Linked DNA regions of Arabidopsis thaliana. The protein of the gene in region 1 interacts with the protein of each later gene in a pairwise test. Each region holds a gene or a part of one and is shown in the gene's direction. Other genes may lie near its edges. The genes, in order: NAC089 and PYL4.

Region 1 (12,209 bases):
TGATTGATGGTTCTGGTTCTGATGATGATGAGGAGAGTGATCTTAAGTCCATTGAGTTGAACATGGAGAGTGGTAGTAAATGGGGTTATGTTGATAGCCTGAAAGATCGTCGGAGATTTGATGGCTCCGGCGGCGATGATGATGATGATGATCCGGTGGAGAAGAGATCAGTGATTGTTGAGAATGGTGAGAGAGATGAGTCTTTGAAGACTTTGAGAGATTACATTGTTTCAAATGTTAGATGTATTGGTCCTTCATCGTCAGAGCAGTGGAATCATCGGAATTTACCAAGCTCTGAGTTTGTGTAATCACCACCGCTAGCGCCGGCGAGGAAGAAAAAGAAATCATTTTTTTTTATAGTATATAATATTTCAGTATTTGTAATTTATTCAATTTAATTTGAAATACAAAATCAATTACGGAATATTTTTTGCCGGTATATCACATTTTTTCGTCTACAATGGTTTAACCTCAATTTACTACACATATCCAATCAAATCATTATTTGCATTTTCTATCAAAATATTCCGTTTTTATGATCGAAGTTTCAAGTTTGTAATCAAGTGATTTGTCAGAATTTGAAGTCTATTACGGAACTTAAGTGCTTATTTTAGAGAACAACAATTCATTACGTACGAGTTTTTATGTTTGTAACTAACTCTAATTAGACCATAATGTAGATGTAGAGAATAAGGGGAAACCAAACAAATCATGCTTGGAATGAATTGGAGGTGAATTGTACATTGTATATAACTATTAAAGAACTTATTTATTGGTGGCATTGAAGATATACACATGGAAACGTTGATTTGGTGTAAATTAAATCATAATGATTAGTACAACAATGAGAATAAGAACGAACAATAATGAGATATATAATTGATTCAAGAAAGGATTAGTTTAAGATTTTGAATCAAAAACGAAACAAGACATTTTCTCTATTATTGTCTAGACATTTGGACAGCATCGTTCCATCTTCCCATGTGATTTTGTCTCAACTATATATCCGTTACGTTTTACCCTATTTGGGAATATTTGGTAACAATTCAACCAAAAAAGTTACAAAAATTAATAAGATGACATGAACAATAACGAACAATAACGGATCTTCATTTTTCGATCATATATACACATGATTAGGTAATAGGTCAATTCGTGTGAAAGATATATGCATATACCAATCAGCCTTACTCTATGTCCCCCACTCAATATAATATTTTAGCTTAGAACCATATATATATGTACCATTAAACCAAATCAAGGGGTTTTGGGTTCCAAAAGTTTGTCTTTCTTTTTTTGTTTCATACTTTTACATAGTTTAGGGATAAATCATTAACTCGTATAACAAAATAAAACTACTAAAGTTGAAGCATAATATAGTGCCACTAGGCTAACTAATTTTCTCTCATTGAATGAGAAAGGTCAAATGCTAAAAACATTCGCATTATAGGGAGATATTTTGTCAGAGTGATGATCTTATCAAGTTCGTGTGTGGTTTATCTCTTTGTCTCCTCCTTTGTCTGTATAATAAACATTGATATATACAATGAACCTACCTACAAAATCACTATTTTGAAGACATTGATGTTACTAATATAGCAACTAGCAAATCAACTGTCAGTGGACAGATCGTCTCAAACATGGGCAGACTTTTCGTTTCGATTTTGGTGTTACCAAATAACACTTTGAATGTTAAAAATATGAGTTTTCCTATATATTAATATACTTCGTATTTTTATCCCAGAACTTGATTACATAATTTTTAAACCTATAAAACAGAGTTTTTAAAATTCCATATTTCGGTTTGTTTCGGTACGAATGTGTTGCTTATCCTCTATGCCAAACCAAAAAAAAACAATTTATATGAATGTTTTAGGTTTTCACAGGGTGGATACAAACAGAAAAGCCTAAGCCCATTCCAAGAGACAGGGAAATAAATAAGGAAACAAGGCCCAAACCCATAGAGAGTGTTGTGTTGCGGAAGAGTAGAGAGAATTGGTAGCTTATTTGTTTTGGCCATTTGGGTTTGTTTTTCTTTCATCTTTTTCGTAAAAATGACTCATCTTAATCCCTAACAAGTTATTGAATCACTAGTTTCATGTACAAATTTGAAGAACATGGAACGAGCAGAACCAAGCATAGTATAAACGAGGAATAGAAGACAACACTCAATCTAACGGTTTAGATTTTTTATCGATTTCAATTACAACACAAGTCTTGAAGTTTACTACAGATAAACTTCATCAAATTACAGAGAAAGTTTGGGTCTAACAAATGATCATTTGTTAGACGGATTCATCTTCCATTACCTTTGACGTCTTGAAGCTGACCGCTTTTCTCGGATGCTCCCTTATGTTCAAGCTAAACACTTCAGGCCTCGAGTAATGTCCGACCACATCAAAATCAAACTTGGCTCGTGCTATGTCCCCAAGATCTGTTAGAGATTTATAGGATATGATTAGTTAACTTTTTGTTCAAGAATGAATGATGATGATTAACAAATGTTAATTAATAATATACCTAGATCAGCTGTGATAAGAGCTTCTCCTCTATAGTTTGGTCCAGCTAAAACAATTCCCAAAGGTGAAATGATAGAGCTTCCACCAGCGCAGACAACAGAGTCCGGTGTTAGGCTCTCTTCTGAACCGGAAAACATGTATTCCGGCGGAGAAGGATAGTCTTTCCGACGACAAAACTGGTTAGCTGACAAAACAAAACATCCACCCTCAAGTGCAATATGAGTCATTGATGCTAGCCAAGTTTCTCTTGAATCAGCAGTAGGTGCACAATAAATCTCAATGCCTACAAAAAAAAACACAACAGTGTAACACACCAACATGATCAAATCACAAGCAACATACTGATACATTGTCCCTTTGTAGAAGCTAAAGAGAGACTAACCTTTGGCATACATTGCGGTTCTCAAAGAAGGCATCCTATTTTCCCAACAAATAGCAGCACCGATTTTCCCAATAGGAGTATCGAACACAGGGATGGTTGATCCATCTCCAAATCCCCAAATGCAACGTTCAAGAGCTGTAGGCATGAGTTTGCGGTGCTTACCTAAGAACAGACCTTGTGAATCGAAGAAAAGAACGGTGCAGTATAGCGTGTAGCCTTCCCTCTCTATCACACCCATAACCAAGTATACTTTGTACTTCTTGGCCATTAACGCTAATCGTTCCACTTCAGGGCCTAACACAAGATGGCACAGATGAATAAGTAGAATGTAATTTACAGTTTACACACACTTGGTGATTCAAGAAACACTATAACTAGTAGAGACTGAAACACTCAATTGTTAGTAGATGATCACACTAACAATTGTTGGGTTTATTGGCTATGAGATTGACCCATGTGAAAGCCCAAGTCACTGGGCCTTTCATAAGTTAAGCCCATGTGACTGTTGCTGAAATGATCTTATCTACAACTTCTTACTCTTGGAGCATCTGTGCCTCCCTTGAATGAAGCTTGTTGTGGAGTCACGGGTGGAGCAACCAAGCTACGTCTCTTGATGAACTGGTCAGATCTTGGTGATGCTACAAGCTCTCATGTAAGAAGGAAGAGGCATCTCCCTCAAAGCAACAAGAACCACCTTGATACCAAAAAAAAACAAGAACCACCTTGGTTGTTTGTTGCAGTTTCTGTTACAGTGTCGTAGTAGAACAGAAGCTGTTTTAAAGACGGCTTTGGTGAGAATTTATTAGATCTTAAGTGTGATAAGCTAGGAGATACGTGTGGTAGCTGAAAAGGAGGTTATGAGACACGTGAATAAGCAAAGAGAAGCATAGAAGTCATGTGAAAAGGAGTTAAAACAGAGCAAGAAGAAACAGATTTTGTAACCTCTTGTCAAGAGAATTGATGAAGTTATGCATGTATTGATGTGTTTTTAACAAACGTATGGTTTTATGGAGGAGAGTTAGGAGATCTCTTGAAAAAATCTCCATTGTTAGGGTAGTTCTTGAGTTTGTATCTTGGAATGAGAAGTGATAAAAGATAAGAGTTCATAGCTTCAAACTTATCAAATGGTGCAGTGAACGTGAATCGAACACGCGACCTAAGTGAATATAAAAGAGGGTTGCCTAGTTGTTCTATGTTGGTAGCTAGTTAGAGAACAATGGATTTATGTGGTAATAAGTGCGTGCCCTGGTATTCATGCTAAGATCCAAAATCGAAAGAAAAAAAGTGAGAACATAATCGGAGATATGGTGGAGGACTTTATTACCAGGAACATCAATGGCAGAAGCATGGTACTTGCGAAAGTCATCTCGTCCTTTAGCGGTACGAGAACCAATAGCCAATTCAAAGGTAGAGCCACGTGGATATCCACCGATGAAAGCCTCCGGGAACACCACTAGCTGAGATCCATTCTCCGCTGCCTCAGAAAGCAGTCTCTCTGCCTTATCTGACAAAATTTCGTGGATAAGGCATCGAAAGCGATCTCACCAACCATAGTGAATCAAAAATCGAGAAAACAGGAACGAACCTAGCGTGGCGGGAGTATCGTAGAAGACTGTAGAGGCTTGGACGACTGTAGCTCGTACGATGGAGGAGGAATCGCCGGCGGACATGTCAATCTCAGGGAAGATTTGATGGCCGTTGGTCTGTGGAGCCGCCGTCATGTGAGACGTTTCTTGTTGCATGGACATGAGAGAATCAGAGAAAGAGAGAGATTCCTTTTTTTTTTGTCAAAGAAGAAAGATTCCAATTGTGTTGTATCTTGTTTACTTGGTTGGTGTGTGTTTAACTTTGATATTATCGTGTATTTTATAAACTCTCTCTTTTTGTGTGTCGATTCTTTTTTAGTGAAGGGAAAAATGGGTTTAAAAAATCCTCATTTTCTCTAAAAACATTTACAATAACCATCACCTATATTGGTATTTATATGCATGCATATTGTACGATGGAGGAAGAATCGCAAGTGTATACGTCAACCACGGGAAAGATTTGATCGATGTTGACCGGAGGAGCCGCCGTGACTAGAGACATTTATTGGTGACTGGTCAGTTTGTCACCAATAAGATATATAGAGGAAATGAGTGATTCTAGTAGTAGTATCTTCTTGATGGGCTTGGTTGGTAGGTGTTTACTTGTACAACACATGATATATATTTTGATTTTTACTCTCTTTTTAACTGTAGGGGGAAATGCCAAAATGTGTAAAAAAATCCTCATTTTTTTCTAAAATCATCACCTATATTTATAGATTTTTTACAAAATTCAAAAGATAAAATACCCCCTCGATAACAAACCAACCTTAAAAACCAAACAAAGCGTTTGTTTATATATTTTGGTTGTTACTTGTTAGCATTCAATATTAATTATTGTTTACTTTTCGAAGGTATGAGGATTAGAAGATTAGATGTTTATCTCTTTTCTTAGTTTTAGACTTGATCTATATCCTTGGATGGTGTTATAAAAGGTATCGAACTCTTTCACGTATCATTAGCTTTTGACTAAAATATTGTTGAAGAGTTCTATTTTTTAGTTCAAAGGCCTATGAAAGGAGGATTTTTAATTCTAAAGAGTTTTGGTATGAAAAAACTCTTAAATCATATTATCGTTATCGATCATTGTTGATCTTGACAAAATATAAATTTGTTGCTGAAATAATTTGGAGAATTTCTTGTTATGATTGTTTATAGTTTCCGTTCATCATCAACTTTAAACTTTTAATTGTACGAGAAACTTTCAAAGTAATTTTTGGATTCACATCACCAAAAAAATTAACAGAACAGAGTTAACCACGTTAATATCACTTTAGTTTTTTTACAAATAATGATTTGAGTATAATTTGATCGTAATTTGTAACCCCATTTCATCATGGAAACAACAATAAAGTTCACTCATACATTTCGTTTTCCCTGTCGTACCTTGACACAGAAACATAGTCCACAGATTTTACTACTAATACTATTTCGAAGACGTACGAGGTTTTACGGAGGGAGATTTGCGAAAATTCACCTTTCTTGTTTAGCTTTTTTGAACATGAGTTTTTGATTAAACTTAACTATATGGAAAGTCTTGTGGAGCAGTTGAAATCCATCAAGAAGGATAAGTTTTCTTGTAATGATAAGTGGTTAACCCTTAAGCTTCAAATCAACAAAAACTTTGAGGTAACGCTTGTTGATTACGAGATCCTGAACAAGATATTTTGGGATATATAATTGTGAGCGATTGATCGATAGTAAGATTTCGGATATATATTGGGACTTTATCTGAAAACACTAAACAATAAGTCGTAAATTGGGAGTACGTAAAAACATTAAGGGTCTAAATGAAATAAAACCTATAATATAACTAGGTTTAGTGACGTGGCATGCACACGTAGATTAAGCAATGCCTTGGCAACACGTATGCAAAAACCCATATGTGTGCACCTGTGAAGTGTTCCAATAACAATTCAAAAGCTCCCTGAGCAAGTGAGAAGAGACCACACTGAGAAGAAAAATCCTTCAGGTTATCGAAAATTCCCGGATTTTACTCTTTGGGCGGTGGCCGATTTCTTACGCGCTCTTTTTGTGGCGACTGTTGTATACGCGCGAGCCTTCATGGACACGAAGGCGGTTGGAGTTTCTAAGGATACGGCGGCGTCGATGGAAGCGTCGACGGTGTTTCCTGGGTTTAAATTCTCGCCGACGGATGTGGAGTTGATTTCGTATTACCTGAAGCGGAAGATGGATGGCTTGGAGAGGTCCGTTGAGGTTATACCGGACCTTGAGATTTACAATTTCGAGCCTTGGGATTTACCCGGTTTGTCTTCGAATTCGAACCAATTGATTCTTTTGTGTCTTTCTTCTACTTGGAATTTGATTTTGTTGTTCTTCAGGCTTCAGGAGAGATCTCTATTTTGGGTGCCTAAGATATAAAGTTTCTATTTTTTGGCTCTTGGATTGGAATTGACAATTTTTTTTGTGTGTTTGTTCTTTGCAGATAAGTCGATTGTGAAATCTGATAGCGAGTGGTTCTTCTTCTGTGCGCGTGGGAAAAAGTATCCACATGGTTCACAGAACAGGAGAGCAACGAAGATGGGATACTGGAAAGCAACTGGGAAAGAGCGTGATGTGAAGTCTGGTTCTGAGGTCATTGGAACAAAGAGGACGCTTGTTTTCCATATTGGTCGTGCACCAAAAGGCGAAAGAACTGACTGGATTATGCACGAGTACTGCGTGAAAGGAGTATCTCTGGTAAAACTGTTCTCGAGAGTTTGTTTTTTCTTATAGATTAATTGTTAACCATTACATAAGAGGTGGTGACTTTGGCTACTTTTTGAGTCTCTAAGAGGAATACAGTAAAATTTTAGGAGTTTTGTCTTTGGCTTGAGTTGATTGATTATGTTTATGTAAATTCTAGGATGATGCTATGGTTGTTTGCCGGGTTAGGAGGAACAAAGAATACAATAGTGGTACAAGTCAGAAGGCACCAAAGCCAAATTCATCAGCCGAGAAGCATGCGAAAGTCCAAAATGGCGCTACGAGTTCAGGGAGCCCGTCTGATTGGGACAACTTGGTTGATTTTTACCTAGCAGGTGAATCAGGGGAGAAACTACTCGCTGAGATGGCAGAGTCATCAGAAAATCTACAGGTTTTGTCACCTGGCTTCTAATTGTTGTATGATGGTTCTTGATTGTTGTCGTTCTTCTTAATGAATGTTATGTGTGTGTGGTTTAGGTGGATAATGACGAGGATTTCTTTGCGGATATCCTAAGAGACGAAATCATCAATCTCGATGAAGCGGTGATGACAGGGAACACACCAAACGAAGTGCCAACACTAGAATCAGCATCAATGGAGATAAGGGTACTTCCTTTACCAAACATGATAGACAAACAAATGTCATCACTGTTAGAGGAAAGACCATCACAGAAGAAGAAAGGAAAAGACGCCACGGAATCATTGTCGAGCTGCTTCGTGGGTTTATACTCGATCAAATCAGTGAACAAGGCACGATGGGATGTTATTATAGGTGTAGTGGCTCTGATAGCAATGTTGTTTTATCTAGAATAAGAGGCTTATGGAAGTAGCGAAAAACAGTGTCCTAGCTATGTTTGTATCATCTTTTCTCGGACATTGACAAGGATTATATGATGTTTTTGTGTAAACGGTTTATGTTTTACACTTCTACTTCAAATCTGTGCAACCAAATCAAAACCTGAAATATCAAGCACAGAAGAACTAGTGGATATAGTTTTTACACTTCAAGGCTTATTAAGTGGTGTGTTTAATGAGAATCAGAGAATGGATAAATGATGGGGGCAAATTAGTAAATGACTATTTTCCAAATCCGTACTGTTTATCTTTCTCGTCCAGATGGTTGTTGCACTAAGATTTGTAGAATTTTCTCGCCGCCATTAAACCTCTGCTTTTGTTTCTTTCTCTCTTCTTCTATACGAGAACCCATTTTGGAGAAGTCAAGTTTCCTCAATACTCCGTCAAGCCGATTTTATTGATCTCGATCAGTTTCGTCAATTTTTCCGGTTTAAGAAACCCTAGAAAAGCTGATGATTCGATAATGAAGTTTGATTTCACTGTGATAAATCGATCTGTAAGTTGGAGATACTTAATCGTCTTCGTTATATCTTCTACGATGCTTCAATTTTGCTTTGTTGTGCTGAGGAAATTCAGTTTTTCTGTAGTATGTGTTATTTGCTTATCCTTAGTAAGTTAGTTACATATGAAGGAGATTCGTATTGAAACCCTAGGTCATTGATTTGATGGAGTTGCTTTTTATAGTATCAGCTTACACTGTTTACATTGTTCTACTTTTGGTTTTTAATTAGAAAATTTGAAGTGAGTAGGTGAATTTTAAGTCGCATCGATCTCATTTTCGATATATGTCTCAATTCGATTAGGCGTGGTCTTTGGATGTGTGTTTAGGATGGTATGAAATGGATTGATTGTGAAATTTGGAACAGGTTTTGTAAGAGCTGAATAGAAAATGTCGAGGCCGATCATGCTAGTCTTTCTTCTGGTTATACTTATAGTCACTTCTCAGTTTGAATGGAGGCAACCACTTCTTGAGCTTGATGCAGCTCCTAGCTTGTCTCAGAAACATCAGCAAATTGCAAAGAGGGAAGAAGCTGTCAAGGAGAAGGTACTTACTTCATTCTTAAACTCTTTTTCATTGAAGTTTTGTGTGTTCAGTTGTATGAGAAAGACCTGAGAATTCGTTTTGGGATTGTGACTTATAGATTAGTACAACTGTAGCAGAGATATGCATAATTGGATAGTGTCAGTTAACTTAGAATGCTCTGATGCTTAAGATTCCTATATCTGCTTCACTTGCCTTTTGAGTCAATCTATAACTATGCCTTAGTAGTTGTGTTGTTGACTTTATCCTCGACATTCTAGTCTCATGAGTCTCTGGACAAACATTCTTTGTAACTGGCTTTCATATCTCTATCTTCTTCTTTTTGAGAATGTCTATGGAATCCATCAATGACTGATCTGAGTTTTTAATGTTGCATAGAAATATTCGGGGTTTTTTTGCCTTCTGTTGTGTTTTCCCTGATTGCATCAAATAGATGAGGTTAGTGGAGAAACATAGACTTATTGGTCTTGCAACCTTAAAGTTCCATTGGATGTATGACGAACCTCATAACTTCAGCATAATTTTGAACCTGAAAATAGAAGAAGACCTGTCAATTCTTAGTTTGTTAATCGTTACAGATCATCTTGTCACAAGAGAGACATATCCAGAGGCTAAACGACCTTGTACGAAGTCTTCAAATGCAGTTACAGCGATGCAAAGGAGAGAACGAGACACGAAACGCCACTGAAACCTCCCATAATAACAAACAGTTCATTGAGCTCGAGAGGAAACACATCGTGGAAGACTAGTATTTCCTCCGGTTACATCAATTCTAATAAATAACCCAAATGGTACGTAAAAACTGTTGTAATTTACTTTTGTTGTGTTAAAAACCTTGCTGATGTTTTGATTAGAAGGATGATTTACTTTATTCACGTGTAAGATTGAGATATTTAAGTACTTGTAATAAAAGTTGAGAATTAGGGTACTTGTAATATCTTTAGTTATGGTTGATTGATTCTATCATTGTCGATGTCTTGGTATAGTCAAACTTTGGTTGTGTGTAGTTAGATTTTTACTTTGACTGATGAGGCTAACGAAAGTCTAAGATGACAAAAGCAATCTTATGTCATATTCTTTCCATGATTTCATCACTAGTCAGAGCCTAAATAAATCTCTTATTAGACACCAACCACAACTCCATATTTGTTCTAAGTCAAACAAAACCAAATCTCCCATGAATTTTCACATACTCATTTATTATTCTTCCATTTTACTATTTGGCATTCTAAAAGTCAATAATATTAACAGTCAAAAGCCATTCATCTGTTTTTGGTCAATCTTTCTATCATTTGTTGGCCGTGCGTCTAGCCGTCAAGCTATCCAAATTCATATTCACCAATACTTATCAATTTTTCAACAATAATTTTCGGTTTATTAAAAAAAGTATCATCATATACGACTTTAGAAATCTAATAATATCAACTACCCATTAAACTACAATTTGTTTTTGTCAACACCGATTTTAACTACATTACAACCTTCCAAGTTTGAAACAAATGCATTGTCTACTTCTTCCCTCTCAATTTGAATTTCGATTTTCATACTAATAATATGATGATTTATGAAAATGGACAAAAATATCTCCTTTGTAATTATCCAAATACTATTTGGTAATAAATGCAATTTCAAAGCACAAGTCATATACTCAATCTTTTGCATACTATTATTTTCAAATTACATTTATTGCTTACAAACACCTCATATTATAATTATTTTCTACAAGAATATTTATTTTGAAAGCTAGATGAAACTAATCCTACTAATTCATTAATATACATTCAATGAGACCCTCTCTCATCTTGCGTGTATCTTCTCCTCTATCTATATATATATAACAGCCACTAACATGCAGACATCAAACTATCTCTCTTTAAATCTCAAGAACAAGAACTAAACTACTACTAGTCTTCACCAAGGTAAAGCTACTTTGGAACCCGAGAACCAAGTTAATTTGTTCTCATCGAATTTTTTTTGTTCTCATATGTTGAAATTTTGTTATTGTCATCTTCACTTTTTGATTGATCGATAGAAAAATAAGTATTCAATTGATCAATTCTTTTTATATATATACATGTTTTATAAACCATGGATCTCCATCTAAAGTTTTGTTTTACTGTGTTTCTTATTCTGATTCTTGTAGAATAATATATCAACACACATAGTATACTCTTCTTGGAAGGCAAGGAACATGAATCAAGAAGCTGCGAGTAACCTTGGACTTGATCTGAAACTAAATATTTCACCGTCGTTGGATTCATCTTTGCTCACTGAGAGTTCATCGTCATCGTTATGCTCGGAGGAAGCTGAGGGTGGAGGAGGAGAGGCTAAATCAATGGTGGTCGTTGGCTGCCCTAATTGCATCATGTACATCATCACTTCTTTAGAGAATGACCCTAGATGCCCTAGATGCAACAGCCATGTTTTGCTTGATTTTCTCACAGGAAACCATAGCAAGAAGAGCACTAGTTAAAAAAAAAAATAAAAAAAAAATACATAATATTAAATTAAGGATGTTCTTTTATTTTTCTTTCTTTTTTCTTTTCCTTAATTTGTTGCCACATTTATTGATAGTTTGAATTAATCCACAATGAACGGATATGTTCATAAAATCGAAACCTATATACTTATGTTTTTAAAACATCCTTAACTTCATTTGTAATATTGACTGCTTAACGATGGATAATTCTTGTAGAAAACTAAGCAATATTAATATTGATTCTTTGCAACGGGTGATTACAAAAATTTAAACTTGGATTAATAGCTAGTATAAATGATGGATGTGTCATTGTGTCCTCATCAAAAGGTTACGTATTCGGACTATTGCGATATTTAATTTTATAAATGGAAAATGGTCGTTGTTGACTTGTTATAAGTTCAATGTATATGTACATGGCACAATTAATTATGTTTTTAATATGAAAAATGTGGAACAATGACTTTTTTTTCTTTTCCTTTTTTTGCACTATGTAATTCTAGCGTTAAATGCGAAGTATATACATAAATATATACACATCATACGTCAAACAATAAATAGGTTTGGTTTACTTGTTACCAAAGTTGTTGAACTAACAAATTAAATGTTTATAAAAACATGAAAAAGAGTTATGCTTATTATA
Region 2 (12,045 bases), on another chromosome or scaffold:
TGCCATTTGTCTTGCTACAATAAGAATGATTAGTGTTCTCCTCAACACCGTTATGGAACTTTTGAAAAGTTCTTGAGTGTCCTTGAATGCTGTTGAATGTGACTGAATTGGTCCGTTCGTGATGATCGTGTCGTAGTTTCGGAAAGTGATTAGAAATTGAAGAAGAGTAGATGTTTTGGAAAGACTTGTTGTTAGTCCAATAATCACTACCACGGATGTTATTGCTAACCGACGCGTTGCGGATTAAACCGGGCCTAATTTGGTCTATCAAACTCCTTTCTGTTCCTTGAGAGCTAGAGTTCCACAAAGAAGCATTTGAAATTTTACTTCCATATCTACCAAAAACAAAAGAAGACAATTAATTTAGTTTCCGAATAAATATAATTAAAACGGAATATCATTCAAATTAAGGAACACATAAAATCTAAAATTTTCAAAAAAAAAAGTTATATCAACCTGAATGGAGAATCATGGTTATGATTATAGCCTCGGAACATCGGTAGCTGACTTAGTTTATAAATATTTCGATCTGTGGAAGTCTCGAAGAGATGTTTGTGACCAGCTATAGCTGCCAACAATTCAAACCCCACTTTATTGGCCTATACATGTATAACTTGATAACTAACTAATGAACACAAATAGAAAGAATCAATACCTTGACCTTGATCATCTATCTTCTTGCTTCTGTACATCTAAAATTTTCCAATACACAATTTAGTGATTTCTTTTTTTTTCTAATTTCAGAGATTATTTGAAACGAAATCGAAAATACAACACATATATAGGTACGTTTTAGATGTATGTAGATCAAATACCTGTAGATGGCTCTTGACATGAGCAATACTAAGCCCTTTGATGTTCATCATCTGACGAACCAACTTTGGAGTTGCTCCTATACATAACCAAACATACACATTAAAAAAAAGAAAATCACATGAGGTTTTGACCAAATAGTTAACCTAAGAATAACTAAGAAATTGCTTATGCTTTTATATATATGTGGAGGAGGTGATGAAAGATGAAGTTAGTAGCTATGGACGTACTTTCTTGACCTCCAAGCCTCTCAACGGCGCGGACAAAGCGAAGATGAAGATCAGGAGTCCACCGGAGTCGAGGGACTTTAGATCTCACATAAGGCCTAACCTTAGTCTTCTTGTCGCTCTCTTCCACTGTACTATTGCTTGAAACCTTACTCTCTTCACCTTCTTCTTCTTCTTCCTCTTCCTCCTCCTCTTCTTCTCTGTTAGTCTTCCCGCCTCCCTCCATACTTGGAATCATTATTACTTCTGATGTTACAAATTCAGAAGAAATATAGAAAGAAAGTGGTAAACGATAGAGAAGTTCTAGGCTTAGCTAGATATAGGTTTTGGACGATATGGATAGATCAATCCTTTGGTTTGATATGAAAGAGATAAAAGACCAGATGAATTCTGCTTAGTTCAAAGCATGGAGATTTTGTCTGTGAACCCTAGATCAAGATACACTTCTGATTCTCTCTCTCTCTCTTCCCGGAACATGTAGACAAACCCTCACCTAAATCTTGTTGCATATGTTAAAAAGTTTTCTTTTCTGTTCACAGCTAATTGATTTCGGCCCTTTTCTACTATAGACAGCTCTATATATAAATAGTTGTATATTTTAATATGTGGATGCATATTAATATCAACCATGGAGGGAGAAAACTATTACTCCTATAAATGAGATAAATTGTTGTTTATACCCTTAACATGCCAACAAATTACAAGTAACACTTATTCTATATTATTGTTCACCAAAGGCTAAGATGAGTGTGATAGAAATTAGGCTCTATATATAGCATATTCTTAGTAGTCTTAGATTGCCTTAGTTCGTCAAACAAACATTTCGATTACAAAGATCGATATAGATAAAATTCATGTATCGGGACTAACAGTCTATGAATGAATTAGTTAGTATAAGTAAGACTATTTACAACAACAACAAAAAAAAAAAAAAAAAAAAAATTAATAATTATAAGAAAATAAGAAAGATATTAGTATAGTTGAGACGTTATTTGAGTTTAGAAGAAAACAAAAAAATGAAGAATTTTAAATTTTTTGATACCGTGATGCAGTTTCCAGGAAAAATAATTAAATACAAAATCGAATTCACAAAATTATAATATACCTCAGAGTAGTTTTGTCGGAATTAGGATCATTGATGATCGAGATCATTGTCTTTTTCTTAAGACATTTGGTTTAAAATTAATGTTAACTAAACTTTCTTTTCCTTCTGTTTTTCTTTTTGTTGCAAAATAATTTTTGATCCTCAACGATTTAAAAGATCCAGTACGTGACATGAATCAATTTATACAAAATATTAATTTATCGAAGTGAACTATACTTGATGGATTTTAAATCCTCTCATTTCTATTGATATAGCGATCAAATTAGTTAGAAAATTTATTTTTAAAATCAACCTTCTAATCTTCTGAGTACTTTTTAGTATTTAGAAAGTGATAAATCACAATACTAACTAATATATTGATTAATGGGTAGATTCATATATATTTATCTTTAAAACTTTTTGATGAGATTATGAGGTTTAGGGTTTTGCGTGGAATTGAATGCTAAAGGCAAAAAATGGAAGAGCGAGAGTGGTAGATAGACGAATAAATTACGATTACAAGGCGTGTGACTGCTCAGCTGTCTTTGATGTAGACCACATCATCACACATACCTCTTTCTTTCTTTCTTTTTCTGTTTTTTGTTCGACGAGAATCACGGGACAATGCTCCTCTCTTACCCCAAAATTATATATTATCTTTATATGTATTTTTGTAGATTCGTATGAGAGAATTAGTTTATGTGTAAAGTGGTCCTTGCTTGGTTTACGTTACACATCCGACCCCGTGAAGCGATGAATAGCGTTGTTAGTTGAGCCGTTTTTTTACATCGTTCGTTCCAAAAATATGTAATATTAACATACATAGTTATAAAATTTGACACCGTATAAATCGAAGTCCTATATGGTTTAATTTTAATTGCAAAGAAAGTCTTTTTAGACGAGTTTATGGTGATTTTTGTAATTACGATTTTAGTCATCGTAAGCCATTGAATACTACCTCTTCCGCATATTTCGACAATTAGTTTGAATATTTACCTTTACCACTTCTATTATGAAAACAATAAGATAAATACATTCTCACGTATATATGCTTATGATATAATATATTTTAGATCCAATTATGCTTTCGAAGTCCTCTTGGAATTCCAAGAAATATGAGCACTCACAAGATCAGTTCTATTAACATGTCTAACAAATTGTACTGTTTTATTTCTACGTAAATTTCAATCATAAGTTTTTGGTGCATCACGAAAACAATATACAATACTGTTTTCCAGTTGTATATATCTACTATAGATTCGGGTACATGCCATCCAATAAAACTTCGTTGCAGAATTAAATGGAGATTATGAGTTCATGAGATTAAACTATAGGCTTAAGTTCATATTTTCCAGTTAGTAAATAAAATTCTGCTAGCCAAACAAAAAAAGTTGTTCCCTACCAAAAAAAACAAAAAAAGTTGTTGAGGAGAGGAAATTGTAAGCTTTGATGAAGTAGAAAAAAGAAGAACTTTGTCATTCCCCCCACGTGTAAAGAGACTTGCCATCGATCCTTCACAAGCTTCTCGTCACCACTCCTTTCTTCTTTACACTTAATTTCCATCTTCCTTCTGCTTCTACACGTCCACATGCAATTTTGCACCGAGAATCCTAATTTGTGTCCTTCATTTTAAAGGTTTAAAAAGCATGTTTATAAAAACATGGAACTGGATGGTTTGTGAGATATGCCATCAAATTAGACAAAAGGGTCCATTAAGCCTGTGAAAAAAAAAGAAAAAAAAAACTAAGAGACGATCATAAGAGTTAGGTGTGACCTGACAAGATTCTTGTACACCCGAACCCGACTTGTGAACTGTGAAGTCAACCTCTAATTAACAGTTATTTTTTATTCCTACAAATACGGATCCAACATTATTCTCAATTAGTTGAAGTAATGTCTGTCTATTTGCACATTTTCAAACCCATAATCAAACAAAAGTTACATATCCTGACCCGCTGACCATATTATACACTCATCTGTGTATATCTCAAATCTCACTTGCAGGTAATTCTCTCTAGTACTTTTATGTAGATATATAGATATTAGTAGAATGTTAGCAAGAAAAGATGTAAAACATATATATCAACTATATTAGAACCCGTCCTTTGTGCGAGTTTTTGATTTTTATGATAATTTTAAGTTAACAAAAACTGAATTAATTTTGCTTTATATATTAAGATGTGTGTGAAGCTCAATACACAATATTAATCTATTCTTATCAAAAAAATTTATATTCAAAATTTACAGCAATTATAAAGAACTAATAGCATTGTATTATGACTTATCATTAAGATGGGGTTTGTGTCCATGTCCGGAGTTGTTAAAGGTTTGAAAACCCAGAGTTATGAATGTAAAGAAACAAGACAGAATGCTTGAAAACAGAGCATCAAGTAAATGTTTTGTGTTTATATTATTATGCAGCTAAAATGGAACCGGTGACGGCATTCCAACTTGGCCAATGGATGTCTAGACTCGCTATATTCTTCAAGGCAGACGACACATTCTTCCCCAACCTCGAAATTGAATTCCTCGACGGCAACAAAAATATATCTTCGAACGTTTTGTTGTGTCTGATCAGCCAACTCCACATCTTTAGGTAAACTCTAATATCCTAGAGAATAATAGAAATCTATAATACTAGTTACAATGTAGAAGAAGAGACAACCTATAACGAAGCTAGATACTATAGCCAACGTAACCAAACCAAACAACAAAAGTATGTTGTGATAGACCAGTTTTTCTTTCCAAAATACGGCCCAATTAAAAGTTTGGTTCTAAAAACAATTTGGGCCTTAGTTTGTATAGTTTAAAATGTGTTTCTTAGTGAGGATTGGTTTTTCATGCCCTTTTGTTTGTGTGCTCCTTTTTTTGTATATTGAAGATCATATCAAAGCAAAAGCAATACAATACTTTTCATTCAAAAAGTTCCTCCTTCTGCTTGTTCATCAAATCTCTCAGGTAATTAAATATATGGTTGTACCACTTTTAGTTTTGTGGTATTCGGCTCTGATGTTGAATACTTCAAATATCTAGATTTGCATCTGATGCAATTGAAAACCTTTTTTTTTTTTGCAATTGAAAACTCATATATATAGTATGGCTAGATATATGCAATTGAAAACTCATATATCTAGCCATACTATGAAATAACAATTGAAGAACTTCTAAGTTGAAAGAATTCTCACTTTGTATGTTTTGATGAATTTGATCTTACATTCCAATCGTTCCAAATATCGAAACTCTTAAAGCGTATTCAATCAAACGAATCTCGTCCTAGATATACCTTGGTCATTTCAAGAAGAAGAGAAAAAAGTTATGGTCAAGAAACTAAAAGTCTAAACCCATATTATAATTCTAGTGTTGATATACGAGAATTATATATTGGTCACTTGCCCAATTAAAAATATCGTGTATAGAAAACAGTCAAGTCAACAACTATAGCAAGGGGCAAAACCGTAATTTCACAACAAGCAACTTGCTCGGTTTTTTCGTTATCACCACTCACATGAACTCTGCATTAAAAACTCTATCTCTCTCAAATCGAAAGGCACAGCCCAACTTTTCGCAAGTCGCTGTAAAGTTTGATTTGCTTCTTTTTATATACACACATACTTCTCCTCCATACACTTTCCTCTTCAATCCTCAGTTTTTTTTCTAAGCCCTAATACCATCTCAAAGAAGAGATCAAGATTTGAAATCAAGAAGACACCATTACTCAGATCAACATGCTTGCCGTTCACCGTCCTTCTTCCGCCGTATCAGACGGAGATTCCGTTCAGATTCCGATGATGATCGCGTCGTTTCAAAAACGTTTTCCTTCTCTCTCACGCGACTCCACGGCCGCTCGTTTTCACACACACGAGGTTGGTCCTAATCAGTGTTGCTCCGCCGTTATTCAAGAGATCTCCGCTCCAATCTCCACCGTTTGGTCCGTCGTACGCCGCTTTGATAACCCACAAGCTTACAAACACTTTCTCAAAAGCTGTAGCGTCATCGGCGGAGACGGCGATAACGTTGGTAGCCTCCGTCAAGTCCACGTCGTCTCTGGTCTCCCCGCCGCTAGCTCCACCGAGAGACTCGATATCCTCGACGACGAACGCCACGTCATCAGCTTCAGCGTTGTTGGTGGTGACCACCGGCTCTCTAACTACCGATCCGTAACGACCCTTCACCCTTCTCCGATCTCCGGGACCGTCGTTGTCGAGTCTTACGTCGTTGATGTTCCTCCAGGCAACACAAAGGAAGAGACTTGTGACTTCGTTGACGTTATCGTACGATGCAATCTTCAATCTCTTGCGAAAATAGCCGAGAATACTGCGGCTGAGAGCAAGAAGAAGATGTCTCTGTGATGAGTCTTTGTCGTTGTCGGGTAGTTTCGTTAGATCCGACGTCGTTTTCTAGATTTTTAGCCGTCGTGTGATCTATGTTTTTTCGGCTTATGTGTGAAAAAAAAGTTACATTAGTGAATTAATCTCTCATGCATATCATAATCCTTCTTTTAATTTTTGTATTTTACATATCCCATAAAGAACCGATTTGGATAGCCCTATTCCGGCTTTCACCACCCAAAGATAATAATATTCAAACTGAAAGAATGTGGTTGTGTTGTCCGCTAATTAAAAGTGTGATTTTCAAGTTTAATTAATCTTGTTTTTCTATAGTTTCATCAGAAAAAGCGTAAATGAAATGGTACAATATGATGTTCGACTCGGATGTATATTAACTCGTTACATTGAGTTGTTGGCCATCTAATGTGTGTAGATAAATTTACGTACGTATAAACAGCTTTTGTGAAATTCGACGATTTTTCTTAAAGGCAACTTTAAATTTGGGCATAATATAATGTGTTCCTTTCCTCTATGATTTAACTAGGTCCTCAAACTTTTTACTTTCTTATTATTTCATAATAATTAAAATAACCGATTGAGCGTGAAGTTGTTATTTAAAAATCAAACATTTGATAGAGAATTCAAGATTTGAAGTTTTTATTTGTCATCATAAACTATTTGGTAGAAAATAGGGAGTAGTTGGGGATTTTCAGGCTTAAAGGTAATTGCGTAAAATGGACAAAACATACATGTATACAAAAATATGAACATGGCCGTCAAAATATAAAAAATAAAAAACGAACATGTTGATGAATTTAAAGAAATAAAAATTTGCAAGTGGACGATGCTTTGAATGATAACCCAACAAGCCAAGCTGTTCTCTTCTTCTTTTTTTTTCCCGCTTGATATAAAGAAAATGCAAGTTGCAATTTTTTTTATCTTTTACTTCCTTTCTTTATGGTTCTTCCCAATCCAAAAGATATAATATTAAATTTCGTATAATAATAAAGAAATATGGAATAGAGAGAAGCGCAAGTTGCATGTCCTTTTACATCACGAGAGTCACGATATGTTTCGTTTCCAAGTGATCTCTTAGAATATAATTATATAAATGTGTTTTTTTCAATATATTCGAGAGGTTTCTACACTTCTATCCACAAAAAGATATGTGATTGATCGACAAAACATGAATCGTATGAAATGAAAGATTTCATTTTCCTTAGATCTAAAACCTTCTACTTCTATGTTTGCAATATCATTATCGAGGTTCACCACTATGGTTACGTAACCATCATCACTACAAAATTTTCAGTCGATAATAGGAATAGCATAAAAATACACAAAATGTTATAACTTTCAATTACTAATTTTTGTGGTCGTCAAATATCGACAAATATAGCATAGCTTTACTAATCATAACTTCATAAGATACATACTTAATGTGGCCACGAAAGGTGTAAAAACAAAAAAAAGGGATGGGAAAGAGTTGGCGGTGCAAGTGGAAGTGGGGTAGCTGCGATTTTTTTGCAAGTTGGGCAAAACATATTAATTGTGATTTACAAATTGATGAATTTTCTTATTTCTCAAAACATAAAAATGAAAGTATATGTGCCTTTGCGATCCATCACGCCACTGTTTCCTATAATTTGATTGGACCTCTGCCCAAATTTCCGATCGTTGGAGAAAAGGAAAATAAAAATAAAAATCGAATATAAGTGTATATGAATATAATTCACAAGTTGCCACATATTAGTATATCGCTTCTTGTTATATAAAGAGGCTTCATGTGATGCTTCTAGACCGAACCACCTACATCGGCGTATGGCCATAATTGTAGTTGGGGTCGGGTTAAGGTAATTTATCATTTGTACTAATTCATAATTCTTTTTATTTTCTGTTATAAATATCATCTGGAAGGTCCAAGGCCATAAGTATTGACGAATTGTTTAAGAATCTTTCCAATAGCCTTTTTAATACATGGCTTTTTTGTATCATGGAGTTGAGTCATCCGTGTTATAGGACTTTTAAAATACCGATTGCAGCATGTTTTCGATGTGAAAAATCTGCATTGGTGTATTTGTTGATTTGTTATAACGCGTAAAGCATGCAATGTATGCTTTTAGATGGTAAGTTAACTTGTAAAAATATCGATCTGCTAATGTTAAGTTGTGTACAAGAAATACTATCCACAAAAGCGTATAGAGACAATCGTACCTAACCTAACACAATGTAACAAAATTTGAAATTAGTTTTGTAACTTAAAATAAACCCCCCAAAAGAAAGGTTTAAAACTTCTTTTTATGGGCCTATAGCATCCGCCTGTATGCCCAACTGGACCCGGTCATTTCTAAGAATCGCAATCCCAACCTACGTGTAATAACTAATAGTATGAATAGTATGAATTTCACGCATGCACGACGCATTTTTATTTTCTTTTACGCCACACACGACACATTAATAAGGTTTAGACAACTTTTTTTGATTCGTGAATGCCTTCTTTGAGAAAGATTGTGTTAACTATGTGTATATCGTTCCAAGGTTATTAGATGTAGTCCAAAATAGATCACATAAGTTATGTATTTGTTTAAGGTTTGCGCACCAATGATATTGTTGCATATCGAACCAGTTGGTGAGCCGGAATGGAACTTAATTCTCATCAACTCCACTATGGTTATATAAAAGAAATTGCATATGTAACTATATGTAAATTAATGGGTGAGATTGTGAGACTCTTAGTGAATTGAGAGAATTTTAGAGAGAGAACAAAATTGTGTTAGAGAAACATATCAACCAAAAAGACATTTGAACCAAAAATACAAGTGACTGGTTTCCATATGTGATAGTCTCCAGTATATGCATCTAAATCAATTATGAACCAAATTCATCATTAAAATGGGCAAAAATGTGTTTGGTCGCGGGAAGACCCGTCTGTCATCCCTATTCTAAACTTTCAATACAATTCGTTAAAAAAAACTTAATTCTAACTAATTCAGAGTAAGATAGTTGAAAACTATACAACAAAAAATATAAGAAAATGATGAATTTCTACAATTAACAAACTAAAACATAAACTATCAAATAGAAATAGATGTATCATGTCATAGAATGAGATAAATGGTTCACTATTTGATTATTGATTTTTTTTTTTTTAACACGACTATTTGGTTATTGATTATGTCAAAAACATTAAAATAATAATTTTATAAAATAATACGATATATAATGTTTTATTAGTTTTATCTATCCCCCTACTATAACAAAAACTTATAGAAATATATAAACATATAGAAGAAGAAAAAAAGACAGAACATATAGAAACAAGAAATAAAATTATACTTTCAAAAACTACGAAGCAAGGAAAATCGAATTTTGAGGTAACTTGAAGGCAACGAATAGTATGAATGTGGAAACGTCAACAACTTAACCTTACGTTTACATATTATATTATTTGACCATCTCTAACCATATTTGGATTATGAAAATCCAAAAGGGCGCTCGCAAATACCATAGTGACCCCCTGTGGCCACACCTTTCTCAGATGTCTATTATGCTTTATGAAGAATGCCAAGGGGGTTTCTCGGTAACACCAAATTAATCGATAGTCGCCTTCACTTGCAAACCAAGAAAGATACGAAACTACACCGAGAAAGTACAATCTTATTTAAATAACCAAAACAAACAACTTAGTTTTGTCTGACCCACTAGGCCACTACTTCTATTCGACAACTTTAAAGTTGACGATACATATACAATTCCTGACTCAACTGAGAACGACAATGTACAATCACACAACGCTGGTCGAACTTAGGAGCCAATAAAACACTTGAGTCGTGACATGAAACACACGGCTACAATACAAACTTCTCTCAATTATTTTTTGTAAAGACCGATTATTTGCTAAGCAAGTCCTAGACAAATATTTACACACAATCGCTATAATATTTAACAAGAGATCACGGTCAGATTAAACTACAGGTCGAATGATTACGGTCAGATTATAGACGCAGCGTCGGATTTCTATCTCATAGAGTCTTGACATAACTTTGTTTCCTAGAGTCACGACCTTATTTCACGTCTATTGGCGAAATAACTTCAATATATCGCATTCACAATGGACATACTTTTTGTTTTTGTTTTTTGTTGGGAGTGAATTTCTTCTTATCCAAGAGCATGTTAATTAATGTTTTAGAGTGACTTTGACGACAATAGTTTCGCAAGAATTAATAATTAATGTTTAGTAACTTAATTTTCCAAAACATTAGAATCCTACTTTGTATATGTTTCAAACAAAGCACAATAAGTATTCAAAGTTAAATCTCAGAGTTCAAATTAAGCCTTTAAGATTTTGTCTTGAATAATTAGCTTACCTCTCTAATCATTAATCAACTTAGGAAAAATATTATTTTTCAAGTAGTGGGCAATTGCTTGGCAAACTGTCAACACAAAAAGTTTTAGAATTTATATTAGGAAAATGATTCATAAATGTATATATAGACAGCTACAGAAAATTGATTGACCACCAAACAACAAAATAACTTCAAGAAGGCTGGAGTTAAAAGGCAAGTAAGAGAAAGACACATCAATATAACCCAAAACAAAACATCATAACAGCAACAATAACAGACACATAACCAATGGCAAAGCGACAACTGTTGATGCTGGGTATTAGAACTAGCTTTCATACTATCGCCGCCGTGCTTGTGGCCGGATTAATATTCACTGCCGTGTTTTTGTCCAGAAACAGTTTGCCAAAGGAAAATCCTCAAAGCCACGGTGTTACGGATCGCGGAGGGGACAGTGGCAGAGAATGTAATTTGTTCGAAGGGAAATGGGTATTTGATAACGTATCATACCCTCTTTATAAAGAAGAAGATTGCAAGTTCATGTCTGACCAGTTGGCTTGTGAGAAGTTTGGGAGGAAAGATCTGAGTTACAAATTCTGGAGGTGGCAACCTCACACGTGTGATCTTCCCAGGTTTTTTTCCTTCTTTGTCATTTTCACTTTCACATTTTTACATATGTCTTTCCTTTCTCTATCTATGGCCATTAGTATAAAAGTTTATACTATAAAGATGTTACATGTCGCATTATCTCCGCTGCTTATATACTTTCCCGTTCTTCTTTCTTCATATATATGTATCTCAATTCATATATAAACGGTTCTATATCAGTCGATTGATGAAACTTAGATAGATAATCATAAGACTTTTTTTTCTTCTTGTTTCTAATGCCATTTCCTTAGAAGTTAGAACTAGTCCAAAAAATAATAATAATAAAATTAACTAAATAAAAAAAGAAGTAGAAGAAGTGATTTTCAAGTTTTGGGCCTAATTTGGGCCGTTATTGTTTTTATTATTATTATTATTATGCAAATCATCGCCCCGGCCGTTATTATTCGGAATAGAAAGAATTAAGGGCTAACGAGTAACGACCAACAAATATACCACATGATTAGTTGTTGTTACCATAATTTCTAACAATATTATCGTCATTGAAATCTTCTAATGTAAAAAATAAGGTTTAATGGAACGAAGTTGCTGGAGAGGCTAAGAAATAAGAGGATGGTGTACGTAGGAGACTCTCTGAACAGAGG

What was found.
Region 2: the proteins of NAC089 (region 1) and PYL4 interact in binary tests that used the Arabidopsis thaliana proteins (3 or more experiments, as listed by UniProt).

Annotation. Positions count from the first base shown.
Region 1 is NC_003076.8:7,371,841-7,384,049, reverse strand, and holds NAC089 (NAC domain containing protein 89), read left to right. Parts: upstream 1-6,273; 5' UTR 6,274-6,551; coding exon 6,552-6,753; exon of another isoform or gene 6,754-6,933; coding exon 6,934-7,187; intron 7,188-7,353; coding exon 7,354-7,584; intron 7,585-7,670; coding exon 7,671-8,006; 3' UTR 8,007-8,211; downstream 8,212-12,209. Other genes in the region: AT5G22310 (trichohyalin-like protein), read left to right, coding at 1-308; NIT4 (nitrilase 4), read right to left, coding at 2,286-2,434, 2,521-2,802, 2,902-3,195, 4,226-4,405, 4,487-4,649; AT5G22280 (peptidyl-prolyl cis-trans isomerase G), read left to right, coding at 8,938-9,093, 9,524-9,778; AT5G22270 (uncharacterized protein), read left to right, coding at 11,282-11,563. UniProt on the Arabidopsis thaliana protein: Transcription factor involved in plant cell division.
Region 2 is NC_003071.7:16,044,402-16,056,446, forward strand, and holds PYL4 (PYR1-like 4), read left to right. Parts: upstream 1-5,516; 5' UTR 5,517-5,849; coding exon 5,850-6,473; 3' UTR 6,474-6,955; downstream 6,956-12,045. Other genes in the region: AT2G38300 (myb-like HTH transcriptional regulator family protein), read right to left, coding at 1-335, 457-568, 656-692, 816-892, 1,044-1,278; TBL34 (TRICHOME BIREFRINGENCE-LIKE 34), read left to right, coding at 11,087-11,427, 11,971-12,045. UniProt on the Arabidopsis thaliana protein: Receptor for abscisic acid (ABA) required for ABA-mediated responses such as stomatal closure and germination inhibition. Inhibits the activity of group-A protein phosphatases type 2C (PP2Cs) when activated by ABA. Can be activated by both (-)-ABA and (+)-ABA.